Linked DNA regions of Lonchura striata. The protein of the gene in region 2 interacts with the protein of the main gene of each other region in a pairwise test. Links are inferred from orthologs where the notes say so. Each region holds a gene or a part of one and is shown on either strand. Other genes may lie near its edges.

The links.
Region 1: the proteins of GRB10 (region 2) and IGF1R interact in a two-hybrid assay, tested with the Homo sapiens proteins (4 studies listed by BioGRID and IntAct). The link is inferred for Lonchura striata from reciprocal best matches to the Homo sapiens genes GRB10 and IGF1R.
Region 3: the proteins of GRB10 (region 2) and GIGYF2 interact in a two-hybrid assay, tested with the Homo sapiens proteins (2 studies listed by BioGRID). The link is inferred for Lonchura striata from reciprocal best matches to the Homo sapiens genes GRB10 and GIGYF2.

What each region holds. Positions count from the first base shown.
Region 1 is NC_134613.1:20,974,131-20,982,029, forward strand, and holds the start of IGF1R (insulin-like growth factor 1 receptor), read right to left. Parts: upstream 3,068-7,899; 5' UTR 2,756-3,067; coding exon 2,662-2,755; intron 1-2,661. UniProt on the Homo sapiens protein: Receptor tyrosine kinase which mediates actions of insulin-like growth factor 1 (IGF1). Binds IGF1 with high affinity and IGF2 and insulin (INS) with a lower affinity. The activated IGF1R is involved in cell growth and survival control.
Region 2 is NC_134603.1:69,035,663-69,042,735, forward strand, and holds the start of GRB10 (growth factor receptor-bound protein 10), read left to right. Parts: upstream 1-3,885; 5' UTR 3,886-4,063; intron 4,064-4,297; exon of another isoform or gene 4,298-4,389; intron 4,390-7,073.
Region 3 is NC_134612.1:7,095,295-7,103,123, reverse strand, and holds the start of GIGYF2 (GRB10-interacting GYF protein 2), read right to left. Parts: upstream 3,118-7,829; 5' UTR 3,030-3,117; intron 2,166-3,029; exon of another isoform or gene 2,139-2,165; intron 1-2,138. UniProt on the Homo sapiens protein: Key component of the 4EHP-GYF2 complex, a multiprotein complex that acts as a repressor of translation initiation. In the 4EHP-GYF2 complex, acts as a factor that bridges EIF4E2 to ZFP36/TTP, linking translation repression with mRNA decay.

The DNA.
Region 1 (7,899 bases), on a different chromosome or scaffold from region 2:
GAAGTGCCTTTTAGCTATGACACAGTATATATGAAAAACAAATAAAAATTAAGATTAATCTTCCTTCCACTATTATGGGGAGAGAGAAGAATATGAAGAGATGTAAAACATCTGCTCTGGAGATCATTTTTCCCCCTAACAGCAAAATTCTTTCAGCAATAACTCGTGAAAACAAAGGCTATTAAACTGTAAACTACAAAGGCAATCGATTAGAGGCAGTATTCAGCTAAGACAAGTTTTTCAGCATATCTTCCCGTATTTAAATGCCTGGATCTTCTTCAGAAGATATTTCATTTGGGATGTTCATTTTAGGTAAGTGGTAACCACAAACACTTCAGAGGACTAGAACCTAAAATCCTGACATACTCTTCCTGCGTTACTTCATTGTTGGGTGAGCATTTTTATTTCAAGGTACTTTGTACCAGGTAAGACAAGGAAAACAATTCTAAGTGTGTATCCTAGCAGTTTAAGGATGCATCAAATCTCCTCCTCCTCCTGTTCTGTTTCTCCACACTACTGGATCCTTTGTAAGCCCTTCCCTGAAGAAGGGCACGGGGGTTTTGTTTTTGAACTTAAAGATTAATCTCCCTTCTTGAAAACAGCTCTAGCCAAAAAGTTCAACTCATGGAAGTAAGACTGCAGCTCTCCAGCCGTAGCTGGCCCAAAAGCCTAGACTGGGCCTTAATTTGCAAGGAGTTAACAGGCATTTACTGCCTAACGAAACATAATTATTACTCAACATGCATTACAGGCTCCGTCTATGTGCTTCTTGCTCACTTATCTTTTTTTGTGTACTTGGCCTCACTGCCAGTGCATCCAAAGAACTTCCCTTTCTTTTCAATCTGAAACCACTACTTGTAGAAAAGCCCTCCTGCCTCCTGAATTCCTTCCCTTTACATTTAAAATGGAGAAATCTGATCTCCTCGTTCCTTCCCTCCAACAGCGCATATCTTTCTGAAAGGGAGAGGCACACAACAGCTCCAGGAGTGTATTGAAAAACACACGGCAGAAGAAATTAAAGCATCAGGATGCAGTACAGGAACATCCCTGTTTCTGCAGACGCTGAAGGAGAGGGAGCACTGTTTAAAATGGTTGGGCTCCAAGGCACATTTACCATCTCCCCGTATACAGAAATACTCCAGGAAGAAAAGGGAAGGCTAATTTCATGCAAGAGATCCTCAATCCAGCGTGAGCCCGACATACCAGGAGAAAACCGATCAGCCCCGGGATTAATCCGGCGATGATTGCAGTGTAATCAATGGCAGCGCAGCCCTCCCTGCCCCCTCGATTCCCCCTGCGCCCGAGAGGGGCGGGCACTGCAACACAATCACAGGTTGGGAACGCACAAAAACAAAGTCGGGGCTCTGGCAGCTCCCGAGCGAGGCGGGCGGGCGCGGGGATGGGCAGAGGCTCCGCGGCAGGAGGGAGCCGATCCACGTTCTCCCGGTGCTCCCGGGGAAGCGGCTCGCACGCTGCTCCAACCTCGGCGCTGGCTGCAACACGGCCGCTTGGAAAAATGCATCCCCCTCAGATCGCAGCCCGTTCCGCCATCAAACCTTTCTATTTACGCACAAACGTCAATGTGCGAATTAATTCCCTTTTTAAAATTAACGGCAGCCCGTGACCTTTAGATTGCGGGATGCCGCCGTAATTCCGCACACAGCGAGTGAAACCCCTCCTCGGCGGTAAAAGGCAAGGCGTTCATTTCCAGGAATTCCTCACTCACTACAGCAGGTTCCTGCATACAGCCTCTAAATATTGACAGAGATCAAGCTCCTTCCATGAGGGGGAAAGCGAGCGGAGTCCTCCCCAGCCCGCGAGTGTTTACTACGCAGCTCGCAGCCCTGGCTGCGGCGCCTGAGCGCTGCCCCGCGCTCGGGGGGGACACAAAGGAGGGGCACGGCCCCCTCCGCCGGGCTCGGGGCTGCGGCGCTGCCGACCCGTGTGTACAGCCAGGCAGCCGCCTCCCGGGGAGGAAGGCGGGCATGGCAGGGAGGGAGACGCGCAGCCCCGGGTTGTTAAACGTGCTGGAGGAGCAGACGCGTAACAGGAGGAAAACACGCAGAGCCCCGCGGGCAGGGGCGAGACCCGCTCGGCGCCGCGGCGGGAAACGGCGGGAGCGCCCCTCACAGCCGCGGGCAGGGAGCCCTCGCACGGGCCCCGGGGCCAACAGGGACCCCCACAAGGACAGGGAGCCCCTCGCACACAGCCCAGACACGCAGGGAAGCCCCTCACGCACACACACGGCGAGGGAGCCCCTCGCACAGGGAACCCCCTCGCACACACGGGGAACCCCTTCGGCAGCCCCCTCTCACACACACACACACCCAGGGAGCCCCTCACGCACACACCCAAACACAGGGAGCCCCTCACGCATCCCCACACACGCAGGGAGCCCCCCCCATCACCAGCCCACTCACACACATTCATACAGGGACCCCCCCTCACATACACGCGCAACACCCACATACACACACACACGTTCACACAGGGACACGCACACACACAAGGGAGCCCCCCACACACAAACACCGGTACCCCTCACGCCCCCCCAAACACGCACAGGCAGCCGCCGCCCTCGCCCCCTCCCCGGCAGCCTGACTCGGGGGCTCCCTCACCGCGGGGTGCCCCGCAGCACCCCCGGGCACGCACTGTACTCACTTTCCCCATTTGTTGGCCACAGACAAAGTGCGGCGAAAACGAGCAGGAACCCCCAGACGACGGCGAGGGACCCTCCTCCAGCGCCAGACTTCATTCCTCTTTCTTTAATTGGACAAAATCCCCCTTTCCGAAAACAAAACAAAGCAAAAAGAAGTCCAAAATTGTTCGCTTTCTTTCCTCTCCCCGTCCTCTAAAAATAACGAGCGGCGGAGGAGCAGCGGGGCAGGGTAAATAAATCCACGTTGCCTCAAGAAATGAAGGAAAAAAAAAAAAAGGAAAAAAAAAAAAAACCACGACCCTTCGGAGCGGCAAACCGGAGGGTTGTTGAGGTCCCTGGGTGTTGATCTTCCGGAGCAAGCACACCAAAAATACACAGATATTCACGATGTATTAACGGCAACAACAAGGCATGGAAGCCCCGGGGCGACGCTGTCTCCGGGGCGGCGGGGCGGGCTCGGGGCGGCGGGCGGGGGGCGCCGCCGTCTCCCCTCAGCGCTGGCTGCGGTGGTACATCGTGCACAGGAGCCGCAAACACGAGGCACATCGGGGCTGGCAGTCGGCATCTTCAACCTCCATTTTCAAACACCGCACACACGCACACACACAGAGACACAAAAACTGGGAGGGCCGCGGAGGGAGGGGAAGGGGGGGGCGCGACCCAGACAATCCTATTACAAAACAACAACAGCTCCGCCGTCCCCCCGCGCGGGGACGGGGCTGCCCCGGCGGGATCCCCGCGGCTCCGCTCCCCGCTCCGCCGGGGAGGGTGGGGGGGACACCCCACGCACAACCACCACCCACAACAACACCGCCGCCGCCACCACGAGTCCGGCTGCCTGCAGAGGCTCGAAATGCAGAATTTGGGTCGAAAATGAATTAAAAAGGCTTCCCCCCCTACTCCTCCTCTTCCTCTCCTCGGCGCGGCTGCCACAAGGTCCTTCTCAAAAAAAAAAAAAAAAAAAAAAAAAAAAGAAGAAGGAAAAAAAAAAGAGAAAAAAAAGCCGAATCCAGGACACACACACAAAGCAGCAGCAGCAGCGGCAGCAGCAGCGGGGCGAGCGGAGCGCTCAGCACCCCGCCTCCTCCCCCCGCAGCTCTCCTCTTCGCATCCCTCCGAGCCGCCTTGCCATCGCGGCGGGGGCGGGGGGGAGGAGGACGACGACAACAACAACAACAACAAAAACCACCCAGCGAATTTGTAAATCCTTTTCCTTTTTTTTTTTTTTTTTTTTTTTTTTTTTTCCTTTCCTCCCTTTCCTCCTCTTTTCCCTCCTCCTCTGGGTGCGCGCGCGCTGCGAACCTTCCCCCGGCGCTGCCCAGCCCAAGGCAGGGGGAGGGGGATCCGGGAGAGGTGTGGGGGTGTGGGTGTGTGTATGTGTGTGAGTGTGAGCAGGGGGGGCTGCGGGGGGCGAGGAAGGCGATCCGGTTTGCTGAAGGTCAAACCCCAGGAGCTTGTTGCGAAGGGTCTGTAATTCCTCCGGGGAGGGAACGGGGCGGGGAGGGAGACCGGGGGGGGGGGGAAGGGTCTGCTGCTCTGCTGCTCCTCCCGATTAATTCGCCGCTTGCTTGCAGCAGGGTTCGCAGCGCTCTGCTGCCGCGTCTGCCCCCCCAATCCTCCTCCTCCTTCTCCTCCGCGCTGCCTCCCTGTGCACGACGGAGAGCGAGCGCTGGTAAACAAGAGCTCGGCGTCGCTCCGCCGGCGCTTCTCCGCTCTGCGGCCGCGCGGGGACGGGGCTTGCGCCCGCCCGCCTTCCCTTCCCTTCCCTTCCCTTCCCTTCCGCGCGCGCTCCCGTTCCCCCCCCCGGCTCCCCCCGCCCAGGCGGCGGCGCCGGCGGCGCGCGCGGAGGCGGCGGCGGCGCGAGCGAGCGCCGAGAAAAACCCGGAGCGGAGCGGAGCCGGACCGGGAGGATGCTGCACCTCGGGATGCTGCGGGGCCGCCGCCGCTCCTGCCTCTGCCCCGGCCTTCCCAAACCGGGAAACGGCAGCAGGAGACCTGGGGGATATGCAGCGAGCATCCTGCGGGGCGGCGGGAGAGCCCACGAGCGAGCCCTGCCAGTGGAAACACTGCTATGTTCCTGACAAATAAATAAATATATTCAATTAAACATATAAAAAAGGCAGGGATGGGATTAGGAGGAAGGAGAAATCCATAGCTGTGATTTTTGCATGGCGTGTTTGTTTATTTATGGCATTTAATGGAAGCTGCTCCTCAGTTTCATACTGAGGACAGGGCCAAGGGCTGAGCCCGGAGCGCTGCTCCCAGGGATGCGGGTCAGGAGCGAGGGACAGGGATGCCAAGGCTTGGCCCAGTGCAGGCGACAAACCACGGTGGAACACGCCCCAAGAGCACGCCCCCATTCACACTCGCCATCCTCTCCTCACACGCTCACCATCCCCATCCAGCCCTCCAGCATTGTCACTCCGTTTCTCAGCTGCTCACTCGTACCCCTCGATGACATTGGGCACCCAGGCCCCAAATGATGGGGACATGGGATGAGTTGGAGCAGAAAAGGTTTGGGCTTTTCAGACTCGGAAGACATGGGCCGTGTTCCCGCTGTTTCGCTGGAGCTCGTAGTAGCCATGCTGTACGGCATATGGGTGTCCTGAGTAATCACAGATTTGTTGCAATACTTTGGCATGGGGAGATAGCAAAATGATGCTGAAGTATAAGAAAGCAGACATCTGTGAGCATTAGCTATATTCTAGGCTGTTGGTTGTTTTTTTTTAAAAAAAGTACATTAAGAAATTCGCAAATGTCACATTATTAATGCAAATGTCAAAATTAAGTTTTTACATTTAAACCTGAATTCTTGAGCATCTTGTATTACAATATCCTTCATTGACACTACCCCATCATTTCCAACAACCTTGTACTGTACGTGTTTTTCTTCTTGTAGTTTTCCCATCCATTCTTCTACTGTTTGCCTTGTGAAAATGGTCCTGTTGTCTGAATTACTCATTAGCTCTTGTACTCCTTAGGAAAGATGGAAATGTTCAATTCTGTGTCACAGAAATTGAAGGGAAGATCCTCACTGAGTACAACAGGGCTAGGATTGCCACATGAGCACACCTATGCAGGACTCTGTCAATAATTCAAGAATAACTCAAAACTATAACCCTCCCGAGATTCCCTGTAGGAAGATCAGACATTTTCACCTGAAACCATCCTGGACTGCCACATGTGTGGTTGGTTGATTTTATCAACCACACACAGGCTCTCATGTCCTCAAATTGAACCAGAGAGATCTTCATGTGCCATAAATTTTTACTGTTGCTGGGTACAGCTGTGGCTGCTACGGGCGCCGGTTCTGAGCAGAACAAGTGTCCTTTCTATGCATGTCATGGCATTGATGCAGCATAAATTGTAACGTCTTATTTGCCAATTAATGTCTTGCTGTGTAAAGACAGAGCTGAAGTGGGAACTGCGTGTCTATCCTTCATCATTCTGCTGTCATAAAGAACTTTTATTTTTGTCAAATAGCCTTTCTTTCGTTACTTTGGTGAATGGGGTGTCATGGACAAGCCCATTGTACTGGGTGATGTACAGGCAGAGAGCAGAAAGATGTGCTGTGCCCCAAAAGAGCTTCCAGTCTCATATAAACACAGCCCTATAGGTGTTGTAACATAGTTTATTTCTGGAATCTTTTGGATTCTTTTAAAAATTTAAAAAAAATATGGTAATAACAGCACATTTTTGAACAGGAGGTGTTTGCAGTGCTCTCCATCCTCCTGAGCTCCTGATGTGAAATTCATAATTTGTAGTTATCTGGCTGGATTCTGTCAGGATGTCTTTATTTTATTCTGTGGAAGTATGCGGGAGGAATCCCTTTTTCTGTGAATGCCCAGGTGCCCATAGCTCTGGTCTCTTAACCTCTTAAGAGGAGAACTGTGCACAATCTTCAGCTTTCCTCATTCTTTTCTGTGTTGAGCAGCTTCCAGTGCCAGCCAGGCACTTGCACATGCTCAGCTTTAGAGCACCCTTTCAATCAGATCTGGCTCTTGTATGTTGGCATATTTCTCCAGGAAGGCTCCTGTTCTTTTCAGTGGATATATTTAAATCAGGATTTTTCAGTGTGTACAACCACACCATGGTTATATCCTTGATGATGAAAACCTCAAGCACACTGTCCCTGTACCATGTGTAAAATTAAAGTTATAATTTGGACAAATTAAAGTTAATTTTCGTAACAAGGTGCTTCACGAGTAAATCATAAAATGGTGTCTCCTCTTCTCTGTCCTATGGGTTCTACAATCATTCCTCCTCTCTGTTTGCACTAGGCTTTTGCTCCCCCTTTGTCCACTGCTGGTTTATGGTCCCCGAGATAGATGGACAGAAAGAAACACCTGGTTACACACACACATTTTACCCTCTAGAGCGTGATGCTGAATGCCACCAGCATACCTGTGTCCTGTTTAAAATACCACTTAAGTGGAAAACTCAGGAAATGTGGCAGTGGGGATGAAACAACGTGGTTAAAACAGCCACTGACCCCGGTCTCTCAAAACATATATCTGCCCAAGGCAAATATCCTCACACTCAGCCATACTTTTGTTTTAACAGCAGCCTCACCACTGCTTTCTGGGGCCACCACTGGGGAGGAAGAGGCCTCATCATTCCCCTGCCTCGGTGCTCGGACTCCATATAGGCTTGACTAGACTTTATTTTGGCTTCTGCAGCACATTCAGGGCAGCCTGACCTCTTTACCAGACGCTTGCTTGTCATAACCTTTATGCATCTGAACATTTTGTATTACCGGCAGAAGGAGCTGCTGAAATTTGTTCTCCTGCCTTCTCCAGCCGTGTCAGCTCCCCGGGATGAAGGTCAGCCATCACAGAGCACTGCCTGAGTCTGCTCCAGGGGCTGCTTTTTGGAATGTCTCTGCAGCTCCTGGCCCCTGCCGTGGGCCAGCAGCTGAGAGCACCCACTGCAGCCACCTCGCCTGCCCCAGGAGCTGCTGGTGCTGCCAGCTCACCTTGTTCAGCCTCTGCTCCAGGCTGAACGCTCTCCTTGCGGGGAGGTGCGGGTAGGTAAGAGTTCCAGGTGGGAATTGTGCCTGGGTGAGTGATACATCTCTTACACAGCCTGGGGAGTGGGTTTTGTACACCTGAAAGGCAAACAGAAATCCTTGGAATTCACTCTTTCCCCCCCTCCAAATCTCCCCTTATAAAAAGCATTTTATGGACTCATAACAAGCCAGGCAAAATGTGGGTTGCCCCTTTCTACCACGTTTTTCACTT
Region 2 (7,073 bases):
ATATAATAATGTTTCTAAAGAAAATTTCATATCTACTAGACAGTTTTTCATTAATCTATTTAATAAAACATGAGAATGACCTTTTTCTCTCTTGGAACTAACTGAATTGTGAGCTTAGTGTCCTTTGGCTAGGTTTCAAAATGAGAAGTCACCCTACAGAGTTCAAGTCTGCAGAAAGCAAACCAGGTCCACAGTACTTGAACTCCAGCAGCCATTTATTATGAGGTATTGAGTCTTAAATGTAGTGCTAAGTACAGAGAGAATGCCTATATTCTGCTTGTATTTTGGATCTAACACATGAGAAACTTGCAATAATGCAAGTTTCCTAAGGCACATAAATGGCAAAAAGAGCTTTTTCTGGGCTTTCTGGGTATCTTGAGGTAGACAAAAAAGAGACTATAATGATATCCTCAGTCCAGTTGCACCACAGGTTCTGAGCTTGGAAGCTGCAGGGCAGCAAGACCCTCTTCAGCTAGGATGGGACTGCACGTCCTGTCCTCTTCTCCCCCAGTGGCTTGGATTCCCTTGAGCATAGCCAGAGAGTCTCATTAGTTCTTCCATCTTCTTTTTCCATCATGGGTCAGAGGAATCTGTCTTCTCTAACCCAAAACTTAACCACTGCGGAAAGAAGAAGAAAACAGGGAGCTGGGACAAACTTCTCCTGGGTACAAAGTCCTGAAGGCATCAAGGCTTTTGCCAAGGCTGTTTGCCTTTACTTTTTGGACTGTCCTTGAGCAGGAAAAATGTTTACATAGTCAGAGTACATTATTGCAAACATTATTTCTTGTGTGCTTTTTCTTTCAGAAAATGATCATCTTTTCTTCCTAAGGAAAATATCAGCATTTTAGGCTGTTATTTTCACAATACAGAATTGTGTAGGGTGTTGCCAGAGATTCACTATTTAAGAGAAAAGATAAGCATGTCCTTCACTGCTACTGAAAAAATGCATTGCTATTTCTCCACTTAACCATTTTAGCGGTGCTATTTTGGATAAACAATCTTATGACAGTACAGTTTTGTCTTGAATGACACAGCTGTAGTCTAGGAAACTAAACATATCTTTCCTAGTGTTTTTATTTGTCAGATGAGTATTTCCAATATTCATGTGTATCTATGTTTTTAACCCACCACAAAATGAAAAATATTATACTAATAAGACTTGAGGAGTCATTTCTGTATGTATTAGAAAGAGATTTAAGTACAGACACATGCTTAATAATAACTCAATTGAACATTTTATCATTGTCAAAGACATCTTTAGAGAAGTCCATCAACTCTTCTGACTTCTATACAAGTCAATTTACTGTCTTCAAAATATAATGTTAATGACACTCAGTGTACACACTGTAATCCTTTAAAATAATGTACATGACAAACGGATATGTTCTCATGCATTAATAATTTAAAAGTTAATTTTAGGTACTTAATATGATTAACTGATGGATCAGCAGTCTTATATATGAGAAACAGTGAGCACACTCAAAGGAAGAGCATACTGGAAGGCAGCCAGGTAGTTGCCTGCGTGATGCTTCAAAAATACCTGAGCTTTATCCCTCCAGTTTCCCTTCAGTGTCAGATGCAGAGCATCACGGTCATAAAGGTGGTCTGGTTTCAAGATGGAGAGTGCAAACTGCCTTAGTGATTGAGGCAGCAGGACTTTCGGGGAAGAAGAGGATGTTTTAGAAGATGGGAATCCCTGCAATGCAATCCTGCTGGTGGCTGGCTGGCTCTGCAGCACCAGACCAGTTATATAATTTCTCTCCCTTCACTTCTCACTTTTTGAGGACACGCTGTAACGCAGGGCTGTAAATTGATATTCTAGGGTGGAAATACTACAGATGACAAAGTATAACTGTTGCATTGCGCAGCTAAGGAATGTGCCAGGGGGCAAATAGCATTAAACAGCGTGTGGAAGAGGCATGTGTTGAAGTCCTTGACCATGCCCACAGCAGCGGGTTCTGCGAAAGCAGCACAAACTGGACACCTATTGCACAAAACCTGGTCAAATCATACAGGTACATGCATGGCTGCAAAAAAGATGGAGATTTTCCTTCACAAGGAGGCACAGGGAGCAGACAAGCGGCAACAGTACAAATTTCACGAGGAGAGGTTTCACATTGATTTTGATTCACTGAAAAAAAAAATTTAGAGTTAGAACAATCACCCACAGGGAAATCATCTCCAGGGGTGGGGTGGAGTCCCCACAGTTTGAGGCTTTCAAGATGCAATTGGACAGGGTGATAATCTCATCCCTTTCCCATAAAAAGCTGGGCCAGTTGATCTTTGGCGTTCCCTTCCTATCTAGGCTGGATCTATCTGTACTGAAAGTTTCTTATGTAAGCATGTGGGGCTGTGATGCCAGCCTACTGTGAGTAGGTGCCTTCTTGCCTCTGGAGAAATCTCAGGCAGAATCTGATACCACCTGCATTCACCTTTTCACTAAATAGTAACCTGGACAGGAGACAGCTTCTGCTTTGGTGAGGCACCAACACTCTGAGGCTGGACCCACAAAACGCAAGATCAGGGTGAATGCTGGCTCACAGGAAGGCGGGACAAAGCAGCTTGGCGGTGGGAAGGGAGCGCTGAACGAGGCTGGGAAGTGACGGCCCCATGGACTGGGGCAGGACAGGACAGGACGGGCAGCAGTGATGCTGACAGACTGAAGAGCAACGCTCAGCGCTGCATCAAGTGGAGATGGCCGAGGGGAGCGCGGTGCCGAGGAGAGGCTAGGCGGCTGGTGAGCACGGTGAGCAGCGAGCAGGCAGCAGAGTGGCACGTGTGTCCAAGAGGCTGAGGTGACACATTGAAGGAGACTGGAGAGATTATTCGAGGACCTGAACAGGGAGAGCGAGTGGTGAGAACAGAGCGAGAACAGAGCATGGTTGGAAACAACGGGGACCGGAGTGTGGGCTGATAAGAAAAGCATTCCTTTATATACAGTAAAGAAGAGCCACGGAGGAAGAGAAAGCAAGAGCAAAGAAGGTATCATGTTACATTTCAAAATATATTCAGCTCGGGCGCTCAGCCACAATACTCCCATTAGTGTACATGCATCTGTCTAGGAAGAAAAGCCCAGAGATTTCTCCCTCTTCTCCTTGGACTCAATTGCCTTTTATAGAGTTGACCACTTTCTTATGAGAGGTGTTTTTGCATCTAGTGAAGTAAATATTCCTCTCCTCACAGAGTGTGACGGCTCTTATTGGAAGTCAATACGTTTTAAACCAGTAGCTCTTAGGGAAGCGTGCAGTTTTGCTTCCCTTAAAAGAGCTTTTCCACAGTCCGAGTTATTTGCAAGCTACTTGCAAATCGGATGGCTCGGAGCTACCGTGGTGCAATAGCGAAGGTCCCAGCGCACAGAAGTTCGCAGCAGCAGTCTGTAGGAGTGCTAGTGGCAGCCTGCGGATCCCGGGAGGGCAGGGTGCTTTGGAGTACGGAGGAGCTCTGAAGAGCCCACCGTACTGTCGGCACACACCGGGAGCCTGCTCCGTGCTGTCGGGAGCGAAGGAAGGGGATCTGGGGGACTTGCCCTGCGCAGTTTTGCGGGGAAAAAGGTGAGAACAGGACCGACGACTTTAAAGAAAAAGTCCAAGCACAAATGCCTCGCGTGTGCAGATGCTCTGTTGGTTTTATTTTAAAGAAAAAACAGCCTTTCCCAAGAAAAGCACGCGCCGGTGCTACCTGCGGGTGAGCTTTTGTTCGAGGGCAGGACACCCGCCACAGCTCCACGACGTGTCGCCTCCAGCGCCGCTCGCCCCGGGACGGGGGAGGGCGGGCAGGGGCGCCGCCGCCACACAGCCCGCGGCCGCCGGGGCTCCCGGCCGCCCCCTGCCCTCGGCGGGGCGCGGGCCGGGGCTGCGGCTGCGTGCGGCGGGGGCGGGAGCGGGGCGGGAGCGGGGCGGGGCCCGCCGGGAGTCAGCTGGGCGCGAGGGGAGAACGCGGCGGCGGCGGGCGCCGTTAGCACCGGAGCCGGCGGCGCGGACAGGCAGGCAGAAGTTTTCTCCGCAGACCCCTCCCGCAGCCTGGGGACGCCTTGCGGAGGCGCGAACGTCCCCGTTCGCGTTGGGTGTGTTTTGCTTTTTTTTTTTTTTCTTTCTTTTTTTTTTTTTTTTTTTACTTAATTGCTTTTTTTTTTTAATTGTATGGTTTTAAATATTTTTTCTGTTTTAATTTTTTCTTTTGTTATTGTTGGTTTTAAGGCGCGTGGCTCCGAGAGATCGCTCTCCCCCGCCCGCGCCCCACTCCACCCCTCCGCCCCGAGGATCCCCCTCCCCGCCCGCGCTCCCGTCCCCGCCGCGCACGACCCTTCCCCCGACCCCCTGCGCCCGCCCCGAACTTGGCGGGTGCGCGGCGCCCGGCGGGCACGGTGCCGGCCGCCTGCCCGCCCAGCAGGTAAGGGGCCGGGGGGCGGCGGGGGCGCGCAGGGGGGCGGCGGCCGCCGCCCCTGGGGAGCCGCAGCGGGGTGAGGCCGGGCCGGGGTGGGTGAGGGCTCGCCGGCTTCTTGGTAGCGGAGGCCGGTGGGAGGAGGAGGAGGAGAGCAAACTTCCTTTTCCTGGGGCCGCCGGCGAGCCCCCCCCTCCCAGTTCCCGTGGGGAGCGCCCCCCGCCCGGCGCGGAGCCCCCGGGGCCGGCCGGGGTTCGCCGGCGGCCTCGGGGTTCGGAGGATCGGCCCTTTTTCCCGTCTCGGGGCTTCCTTGCCGCGTTTTGTTCGCTCGCTGCTGCGCGCCTCGCCCCGGCGGTGCCGGGAGCCGGGCTTTCCCGTCGCCCCGCGCTGGAGGAGAGCGAAGACCTGCCCCGCCAACTGCTGGTGGTGCCGCTGAAACTCCCCGGTTTTCCCCCTGCTCCGTTTGGGGTTTGCGGGAGGGCTGGCGGATGGGCAGTTCGCAGAAATGCCACCCCGGGGTGCTGCCGCCTTCCTGCTCCTCCGCGGTGGGGATGTGCGGCGGCAGGCGGCCGTGTGCCCGCCGGAGAGCGGCCCTGCCGAGCTCCCGGCCGTGCCGACAGCCCCTCGTTAGCCCGGGAGACCCTCCCTGCGGGAAGCGCGGAGCTTCTCCTGCCCCAGCTCCCCGCCGGGGAGAGGCGGGTACCCGTGGCTCTCCTTGTATAACCGCGGCGCTGCAAGCCGGGGCTGAAACTGTGGCATCTTTATAAGAACAGTTTGCAGTTAATTGGTTTGGCAGATGAACTCCTGCACAATCCTCTTGCCCGCTTCTGTTGCTCAAGTGCCAGCGCCCCCTCCCACCCCTTTCCCCCTTTTCCCCGCTTTCCTTTGAAGCGTCGCATAACTCTGTATTGCCAGCAGGATGGAAAGTGCTGATTCAGCAGCCAGGAGCCCCACTCCATCTGAAGTGGTGGTCTGCCTGAAATGCTCCCATTTGTTGAAATGGGAACATGTGTTGCTGGTATGTCAAAGCAGCATTGATCATGTCGTCTAAAACAGACTCAAATAATGTGGTTTGCTTTTCTCTTCACCAAGACAGAATGAATTTGGGGTTGGGGCAAAGCAGGAGGGGGCAGAATAGAAGGGATGTGGGCATCTGCCACCTTCAGTTATGCTTCTAAGGGGCAGCTGAAATTGTTTTGCCTCTTAAAGGTGCATGTGTGTTTTAACAGAGATGTTGTGGGATGCATTAACACTCCAGCTCCATCTATTCTTGCGTTCTGAGGCTAGTAGTTGTACTTACAGCTCTAGAAAGGTACAGAGAAGGGCAACAAAGCTAATCCTAGGATTAAAACGTGTGCGTTACGAGGACAGGTTAAAAAAAAAAAAGCACCACAAACACATGGAGATTAGAAAATCTGCTTGGAAAAGAGGAAATATGCTTGAAACTTTAGATGAGAGCTCTGGCTGTGCTTCATGATGCTTTTGGGGCTGAAGCAGGGTGTGGGAGTTAAGCAGGATGCTCTTCCCATGCTATTAGTCTTCCTCCAGGGCTTAACCTCTCAGAGCAGCATAAGGAGGAGAGCTGTTCCAGAGCTGTATTCCTCTGGCTATCTTTGTACAGGTATACGTTAATATCAGAGCTGCCTGGGTTTTCTTTCGCTACTCCTGGACTCTTTAAAATTCAGCACAGTGTCGAGCAAACAGCAGAGCCTGAAGAGTACTGTTTGGTAGCTTTCCTGCAAACAGTAAACCGACAGAGCAGCAGACCGTGACGCTTGCCTCTGGTGATCATTATACCATGTTCTGGTCTGATTTATTTTCTTCACTTGGACGTTATTTGTTCTTAAAGTAGGTCTTGTTTGCCCTGGCTACATATTAAAGATCTTGTGGTACTTCCATGGTTTTCCTTGGTTTTGTTAATCAAACTATCCCTTCTCTTAGCACTGTGTGAGCTGGCTTTTATCCTCACATACAGCCACACCTGGATTTCAGTAGCGTGTTCCTGTTTTTTTTAATGCATAGTCCAAAAGCTCTGCCTAAATGCAAAATGGATTTCTGCATCTCAGTTCTGCTGAAGTGTATAGTGTGCACTCTGTGAATAAAACAAGTGTTTGCAGCCCTCTGTCTTGCGAGTGCTTAAATGACTCTAGCAAGAATTATTATGAAAGTTTTTTTAGAAATCTTTGGTTACATTCTCACCAGTGCTTGGGATGTAATGGGTAAAAAGTATCTGGATCTTTCTGGCAGAGGTATCCTTCCAAGGCAGGGAGTTCCCAGCTGGCAGAGGAGAGGCATAGCTGGGTCATGCACTGCTTCTGCCAGCAGCACCAGAGTGTTGCGCTGGGAATTTATTTTCTGACAGCCCCAAACAAGCAGATGTCCCTCTAGCCTATGAGGCACCATCAGCTTCCGTGGGTGCTCACAGCAGTGGCAGCAGGCAAACTGAGGGGCTCCTGGCTGGTGTCATTCTGGGTGGGACCCTACTGTTGCTCACTTCTGCTGTGCCTCTCTGCACGTGGTTATGGAGGTGATGGTGCTAAATGAGGCCAGATTTCTAGGTATAATTTCTGCTTAGACCAGCTCAGCTCTGTCTTAGGAAGTGTGTGTATGTGTTTGTGTGTGAAATACACTCAGGTGCTTCTTCAGAGCATTGAAATGTGGGGTGGGAAAATAGGTGGAGGGGTGCCTTTTGA
Region 3 (7,829 bases), on a different chromosome or scaffold from region 2:
AATACTTAGTGCCATCCATAACTTAGGCACACCTTGAGCAAACTTACTACGTTTTCTCACTTCCGGTGATTTACAATCGAGATCCTTTATGGGAAAAAAAAAAAAAAAAAAGGTCCAGAATTGAGAGCAAGAGACACAAGGAGAGGCTAAGCTGGGCTGGAAACTGACTTCGTTCCTGAAAGAGCAAACCCCATCCCCCTGCAGCATTTCACACACCTTGCATTTCAAATGTCACTCTATGAATTAATATAAATTGATGAGAAAACCACACAAAGCAAGAGTCTCTTTCAAGGCAAATGCTTCCTCAGTAAACAAAGAAAAAGGTTTCTCCTCACCAAGGCATCCAATGGCTCTCTAGCAAGCTCTGTAGGGAGAAAGCTCCCTTGCTTTGCCCCATGGCTTCATCTATAATCATGAATTATGTATAGTTTATCTCCACTAATATTTGAGCAGAAGCACTGAAGGGGAAAAAACTAATAAAAAAATAAAAATTAAGAAAAAACTGCTAGGAAATGGATTTTTTGTTTGCTAAATCAGATTATGAGAGAACTTAATACCATACTTCGAAGAGTCCGAGGGAAGAATTTTGAAGACCTCAATGAAAGAATAAGAAACATATATATGACAGTTACTTGAACTTGCAAGACCAGACAAAAGTAGGCAAAATCAAATTTCACATTCTTAGTAATCAAAATAAATAAACAGAGCTGGGGGGGAAAGGGGAAAGCACAGATCTTAGTGCACAGCTCATCTTCACCAGCTACTGTGAACCAGTGTTTTCTCTTCGAGGTTTAAAGAGAAAGATCTTTCAGCAGAGGGATGTACCAGCACAGCCTTCAGCCACTCAGCTGTCCCAACAACTTGTTCCATGGGACTCTTGACATCTAGGGTTGTTTTTATTTTAATGAAGTATATATAGAGCTTAAAAAACTGCTGGTGTTTTTTTTTTTTTACATCCAGGTATGAAGAACTCCAGTTTGTAGCAGAACTTCATTCAGACAACTGGCCTTAGCAGAGAGATACAGAGTGCTGCTTAGGTTCAATTCCTTAAAAAACCCAAAACCTACTTTGCATTCCCTTTTTACACAGCTTTCTTCCTAAACTGAATAGTAAAACAGGAAGGAAAAAATTAATTACAAAGCCCTCAACTGTCTACAAACTTTTTTTTTCACTTACATAATCACAGGGCTCATAGCTTTAGTTTAATGTATATTTTAGAAACAGAAGCAGAAATGCTAATAGGAGTACCTCAGGATATTTTACAATGCCAAGGTCAACACCTATTAAAAAAGAAACAGTCCAAGTTTTCATTGTGGTATCAAATTTTTTTTAAGCACCCTGTGAAACAAATAATTGCTTCTCCAAAAACACACTAAATTTTAGTTCTATGCTCCTGCTTTAAAACACAGGCTCAAGAAACCATTCAGAAAAAGGCCCCAAAAGAAATGCAGTGACCAGGTGTCCTCAGGCATATTCCTGTATCCGGGGGCTGGGAGAACCTGAGAAGCTCTTTAAGCCATTCAACCCCAGTATTTACCCACAATATTGTCAGACACTGAAACAGTTTATCAAAGTCTCAACATAAAAGGTGACATCCAACTTCCAGGACTAAAATTCTGCCTTCTCTTTAATCCAGCAGACTATTAGACAGAAACTTTATTTTTTTTTTAATCACACATTCATTCAGAAATTAACACCAACACACAACCACTGACATCAACTGACCTGTTGAACTACATGAACCTGGGGAGCAAAGCAGGTGCAGAAGGGGCCATGGACACTCAATATTTCTGCTGGCACCCCCAGGATTAATTAGGTCACACATTTTCACACCAGCATCAGCTAGCTGCTCATAGGATACCTATTCAAATGCATGGCAAGAAAACCAATACCTCATTGCAATAAAGCTCTTATTATCTACTGCAGTCACCACCCAATAACAAAACTTAAAAACACCAAAACAAAGCTTTTGTTGGCGACAACTGCAACCAATTTTGTTTACAAAGTTTTCCAATTATCACATTGTGTATCAACCAAATGCTCCATTCACATAACAGCAAATTAATTTTTGTTTATTGAAGAGTTTCTTAAGAACAAAAGCAACCAGCAGAGTCATAAGAAAAAAAATTCACACGTACTTTCCAGGAACTTGCCCAAGTCAGCTCCTGAAGCAAGAAAAATAAAACGTGCAGCAAGAAGTTAGAGGAATATAATCAGAATCCAAAAGTCCTTTCCCCACCCACCCAAGCAAACAGATATTCAAGAATTACAGTAAAAGCAGCACACCACAAACGTTGAACTGAATGTTACTAGGGGAAATGTGGATTTTTATTGCAGAAGCACTAGTGGGCAATACCTCTTTTGTGCCTACACCTTGTGTCAATTCAAAGTGCAATCATAGAGAACTGCAAGAGCCATAAGTGCTCTGTTGACACTGAAACTACTTGTCTTGGATCAATACCAAACGTACACAATTCTGATCGATGCTCTCTTCAGCCTGCCAAGGCTTCTCCAGTCAAACACTGCCGGTCACCGCTGCTCCCAGCACCCTGCTGCCTGCGCGGGGGAAGGCTCGGAGCTCCCTCCTTCCTCGGCCAGTGTAACCCGACAGGGCCGGGCGTGCTCGAAGCGGGGCTCACCGCGGCGCTCCCGCTGGGCTGGGAGGGGACGAGCGAGTTCACAAGGGTCAGTGCGAGGGGAGACGGCCCCGGAGGGCGGTGAGGAGCGGCCCCGCCGCCGCCTGACAAGTACCAAGGACCTGCACGGAGAGCTCAAGGCCTGCTCGCCCCAGCTCCAACGACCCCTGCAGAGGCCCATGGGGAGCGCGGGGGGGCCCTCCAGGCGCACCCCCCCACCCCCCTGGGCGGCCTCGCCTCCCGGTTAGGCCGCGGGGCGCCTCGGTGCTGCGGCAGCCGAGGCGGACGGGAGCCGCCGGCAGGGCCGGTGGTCAGACGGGGCGCGCGACGGCGGGGGCGTGGTGGGGACGGCCGGGGCAGCGGCGGGGCCGGGCGGCGGCGGGACGGCGTTACCTGCGCTCCCGGGCGGAGAGTCCCTCACAGCCGCGGCGGCTCCTCAACCCAACAACACAAGATGGCGGGTGCGCCGCCACGCAGCGTCACGTGAGGGCGAGGCCACGCCCCCCGGCCCCGCCGCGGGACCCGGATGAAGCAGAGGCGCTTCCCGCCCCCGTGTGACGTCATCCCGGAGAGGGGCGGGTCTGCAGCGCCCCCTGCCGGCCGCGCGGGCCCGCCGCGGCCCCCCCAGCCCTGAGGGAGATGGCAGGGCCGGGGGTCCCCGCGCCTCCCGCCCTGCCCGCAGCCCCGGTAATCGAACCGCTGCCTCAGTTCCCCTTGCACCCGGCACTGGTAAGGCCGCACCTTGAGTCCGCTCTCCAGATTTGGGCCTCTCAATTCCGGAAGGATATTAAGGGCTGGAGCACGTCCAGAGAAGGGAACGAAGCTGAGGAAGGGTCACCAGTCTGACGAGGAGCAGCTGAAGGAGCTGGGGGCGGGACTCAGCCTGAAGACAAGGAGGCTCAGGGGGGCCTCTCCTGCCCTCCACAACTCTCTGTGGGAGGAGGGTGCAGCCGGGGGCTGGGCTCTGCTCCCAGGGAACGGGGACAGGACAGGAGAACGTGGTCTCATGCTGCAGCAGGTGAGGTTTAGGTTAGACACTAGACAGAAATTATTCACAGAAGGGGTGATTAGACATTGGAAGGGGCTGTTAAGAGAGGTGGTGGAGTCCCTGTTTCAGGAGGTGCTCAATGAATACCTGGACTTGGCACCCTGGTCTGGGTGATAAGGTGGGGAGCAGTCTCAGGTTCAACTCGATTATCTCAGAGGTCTTTTTCAACCTGGATGATTCCGTGATTCTGCCACCTTCTCACACATACACACAGGCGGCCTCAGCAGCGCAGTGTGGCTCCCAGCCTTATCTGTTTCTTCTGTGTGGTTCCATGAGGCAATTCCATTTTATCGATGGCCACAACAATCTCTGTGAGAAGCCACCATGTGTGAGCACACAGTGCCCAGGCACCGAGGGCTAGACCTGCTCTTGCCCGGGCACTGGAGGAGCCCTGAGGACACTTTGCCGTGGGAGTCACCCTGGGAGGCAGTGGCAGCAGCTGCTGTTGCTGCTGAAAAGAGAAAGCGCATTAGATGATACATATTTTGACTCTTCTGATGGAAAAATCAGCAGCTCAAGGCAAACTTTCTTCAGCTAAAAATACCAGTTTATTTTTAGTCCCCAAACCCATATTAGTACATGAGGCAGAATAGCCCCATGTGGTTCCTTCAGCGTAAAAAACTATTCTTGGCTGTTACGCATTGCTGAAGGTATAACCGTTTTCAGCTGAAACAGTTTCACTCTAATCATGATGTCAGCCACAACCCATGTAGCTTTCTCCATCCTCTTCTAGGTGAATAAATACTTGTCATTGTGTACTGAATGATAGCCAAAAATGATGCAACAGTGAATACTACTGATTCTTATGAGCTAATGGGTTGAAAGCCTGTAATTCTTGGGGCTTATTTTTAGCTGAGAGCTACATAGGACTACCTCACCCAAAAAATCTAGAATGGAATTTCTCCATTAGGAGGCTGGTATGGAAAAGCAAAGCTCCCTAGAAAAGGGCTGGCCTCTGATAAGCTGCATTCAATCCCCCTGGTTGTTGTCACACAGTTTGAGCCAATACTAATAATGATAGAGAGAGACAGTGCTGCATTTCAAGCTGTCAGTGAGAACTTCCAATTTCATTGCAGAAGCAGCTGTGCCTTGTTATTCTACTTATCAAATGTGAGTTTGAGCACTCAAAAATATTTTCACATGCTCTAAGACAACTTTTATCTGAGATGGAAGATGTTTAGCACTTGTGGAAATTTTTTTAATCCCAGTTAGCACAAACATTATATTACTGAGACAAAAAAATTCAAATTCAAGAAGCATCTGAAACATTCCTAATCTGCAGAACTTGGCATTTCTGTAAAATACCTCTAAGGAAACTCAGATGACAATCTTTTGGTAATAGCAGATGCATCTTAAATCTTCCACAACTCATTCAAGCAAAACAGAGAGAATCTCATGAAAATTCAAGACTGTACCCGTGTGGTAAAATTCCTGACTGGCTCAATGACAGAATGTCAGCTGATATTGTGTAGGTGTGAAATCACCCCAGCAGCCAGTCTGGGTACCAAGGGCATAATGTACTTCAGAGCCCTGGATTACTGTGCCAATTCATTCACACTATTAAAAACCCAAGAACAGGGAAGCTGCCTCCCCAACAAACTACAAGCTTTCCTTACTAACCCCTTGTTTTCATCCATTCTGGCTTGGAGGCAAGAGCCCACCTCCCTCAGTACACTGGTCGAGTTATGAACACAGAACACAGCTTTGAAATGATAAATAATGATCACAAAGCAGCCCAGAAGAATGTGTCAGAGTCATGTTTCCCCTTGCCACTCCTGCATTTTGTTACTTGGAAAAGTGGTTCCCCTGCTTGTTGAAATAACCAGGGATTTTGTCTGGGAAGAGTCAATATGTTCTCAGCAGCCTCTGTTTTCCATGTCCTCATTTGTCACATCCCTAAAAATAATGAAAACAGCAGCAAAGCAGGCAAACATCCAACTGCAGTTTTTAAAGTCAGTCACTTCAATGCATTTGTCACCTCAGGTGGCTTGTACTGAAAGACAGAGTACCACAAACAAGCTGCTACTTCTGCAACACCCAATTACTTCTGAATGTCTTGGGTTTATTTGGACACTCGCATAAGGTTGAAGTGTTATTTTGTCACCTTAATCCTCACACATAAACCCCAAACCCTGTGCCAGGAAGAACTTGATCACACCATTTCTCTTTCTCTGCACTGTGACCACACTAAGCTCTTCAGGTGAGACTTCCTGCTGCCATAGGCTGTCCGCTGCAGCCAATGGCAATGACTGTGACAGGAGCATCCTTGAGAAATCCACTGCAATCTGAGCATCCAGACAGGCTGAACCCACCTTTGGTGCTGGCTGAAGTGCTAGTGACTCCTGTCTTGCATTTTGCCTACTCTGGGCAAACTAATGTTTTGTTAAACAAAATCCCATCAGAGATCAAGGACTACCTGAAGTTCCCATTCTAGATGAATGACTTGAGGCAAGTATTTATCCCTTCTGAGAAAGACCACCAAGTGCAACAAGTTTTTCATCAAGCTTCTCTACTTGCCGCCACCAACTTAAGAGTCACTTGTGGCATGTCAGAAATACCAGAGAGGCATTAATATACCAGCAGGCACCACTAAAGAGCTGGGATTGCCAGGACCTTTGAGAGCCACCTGTGGTGACTCAGGCATAAAAGAACAGAGCATCAAGGATGTAGTAGATAAATTACAGGTAAATACAACTAAGTGTTTTCACATGGTTTTAGGTGGGAGATACAGCTAGACAACTTCTCTTTAGTACTTCTACACAATCTAATGACACTGTTATCAAATCAAATAATTGCCAGTAAAACAGAACAATTTAGAAAGTGATTCATTTCCTAATGTCCATTTTTGCAAAGCTGATGTCAAAACGCACATTTCTGCAACTTCCAAATAAATGCACGTCCAAAAGCACTTATTGTTCATTGCACTGAATGCAGGTCCCAACTAGCAGCACCAGTTTGAATTGAACAAAACCATAGACAATGATAATTTCCTTACTGAAACTTGTCAGCTAGAGTTGACTTAATTCTATTAAAATAAAACCACTGAAAAGCCTTTTTTCACACTCTTCTCCTGCAGGTTTGGACTCCTTACCCAGCTGCATGTGCAAAGCAGCACAACTCAGCAGTGCTTGCTATGCTGTAAAGAAAAAAAAAAAAACAAAAAAACAAAAAAAAACCACCCCAAAATAAAAATCAAGAGCTGCAGTGTCACAATTTTCCTGGGGAAATAGAGACTAAGGAACCTTCACCCAGATATTACCTGACCTCTGAGACCTGAGGATTCATAGACACAGTGAATGTATTGGCATAGAGCAGAGATACATGGGATAAAATATTTATATTGATGAATATGAATATATATATTTATATTCATCTATATAAAATATAGATGAATATAAATACTTCTGTTTCATCACTGGACCTGAAATGAGGCATGGTTAAACCTCTTCCTGAACCCCCTTCTCAGTGTGGCAATGCCAGCAAAGCTTAGTAGATCAGCAATAGTACAAACAAAATGCTTGGAGACATATTTTCAGGTATCCATGTATTTTTCTTTTTTCTCCCTTAATAAAGGCAGAAGCAGGAAATGCAAAGGGAATTCCAGCTGAAGTAACCTGCCAGCTCCCAGCTGGGGCACTACAGGGGCTGAGACAGGTTATTTTAAGATAAGGAAAGGCTGACAACCTTCAGATGTCAACATTTAGCAGTAGGCAGTATTTCAAGTATTTACACAGCCATGTGCCTTTCTGAGGGAATGCAAACATTAAGGCTTTTTACACCAGAACTGCTATGCAAAAGAGGAAGTGTTATCAAGAAGGGGCTGAACACTTCCCCCACTCATCCAAGTCAGGATGCTGAGCTTTGGGGATTACTATTAAAATTTGTGAAAAATGCTATATTCAAAGACCTGAAATAAGCCACAAACAAGACTGGAGATAACAATGCTTTATTTTTACATTTCTGCAACAGGAGAAATAATTGAAGATGAAATTATCTGCTTTTTTGTAAAGTATAAAAACATTTAATTATAAATATTTAGCTACAAAAGCGTGATTTATAAAATATAATCTGTGAAGATATATACACAGTTTAATCGTTTAGCAATTCTTTACCTGACATTAAAGAGTAGAGGTTTTTCTATTTAT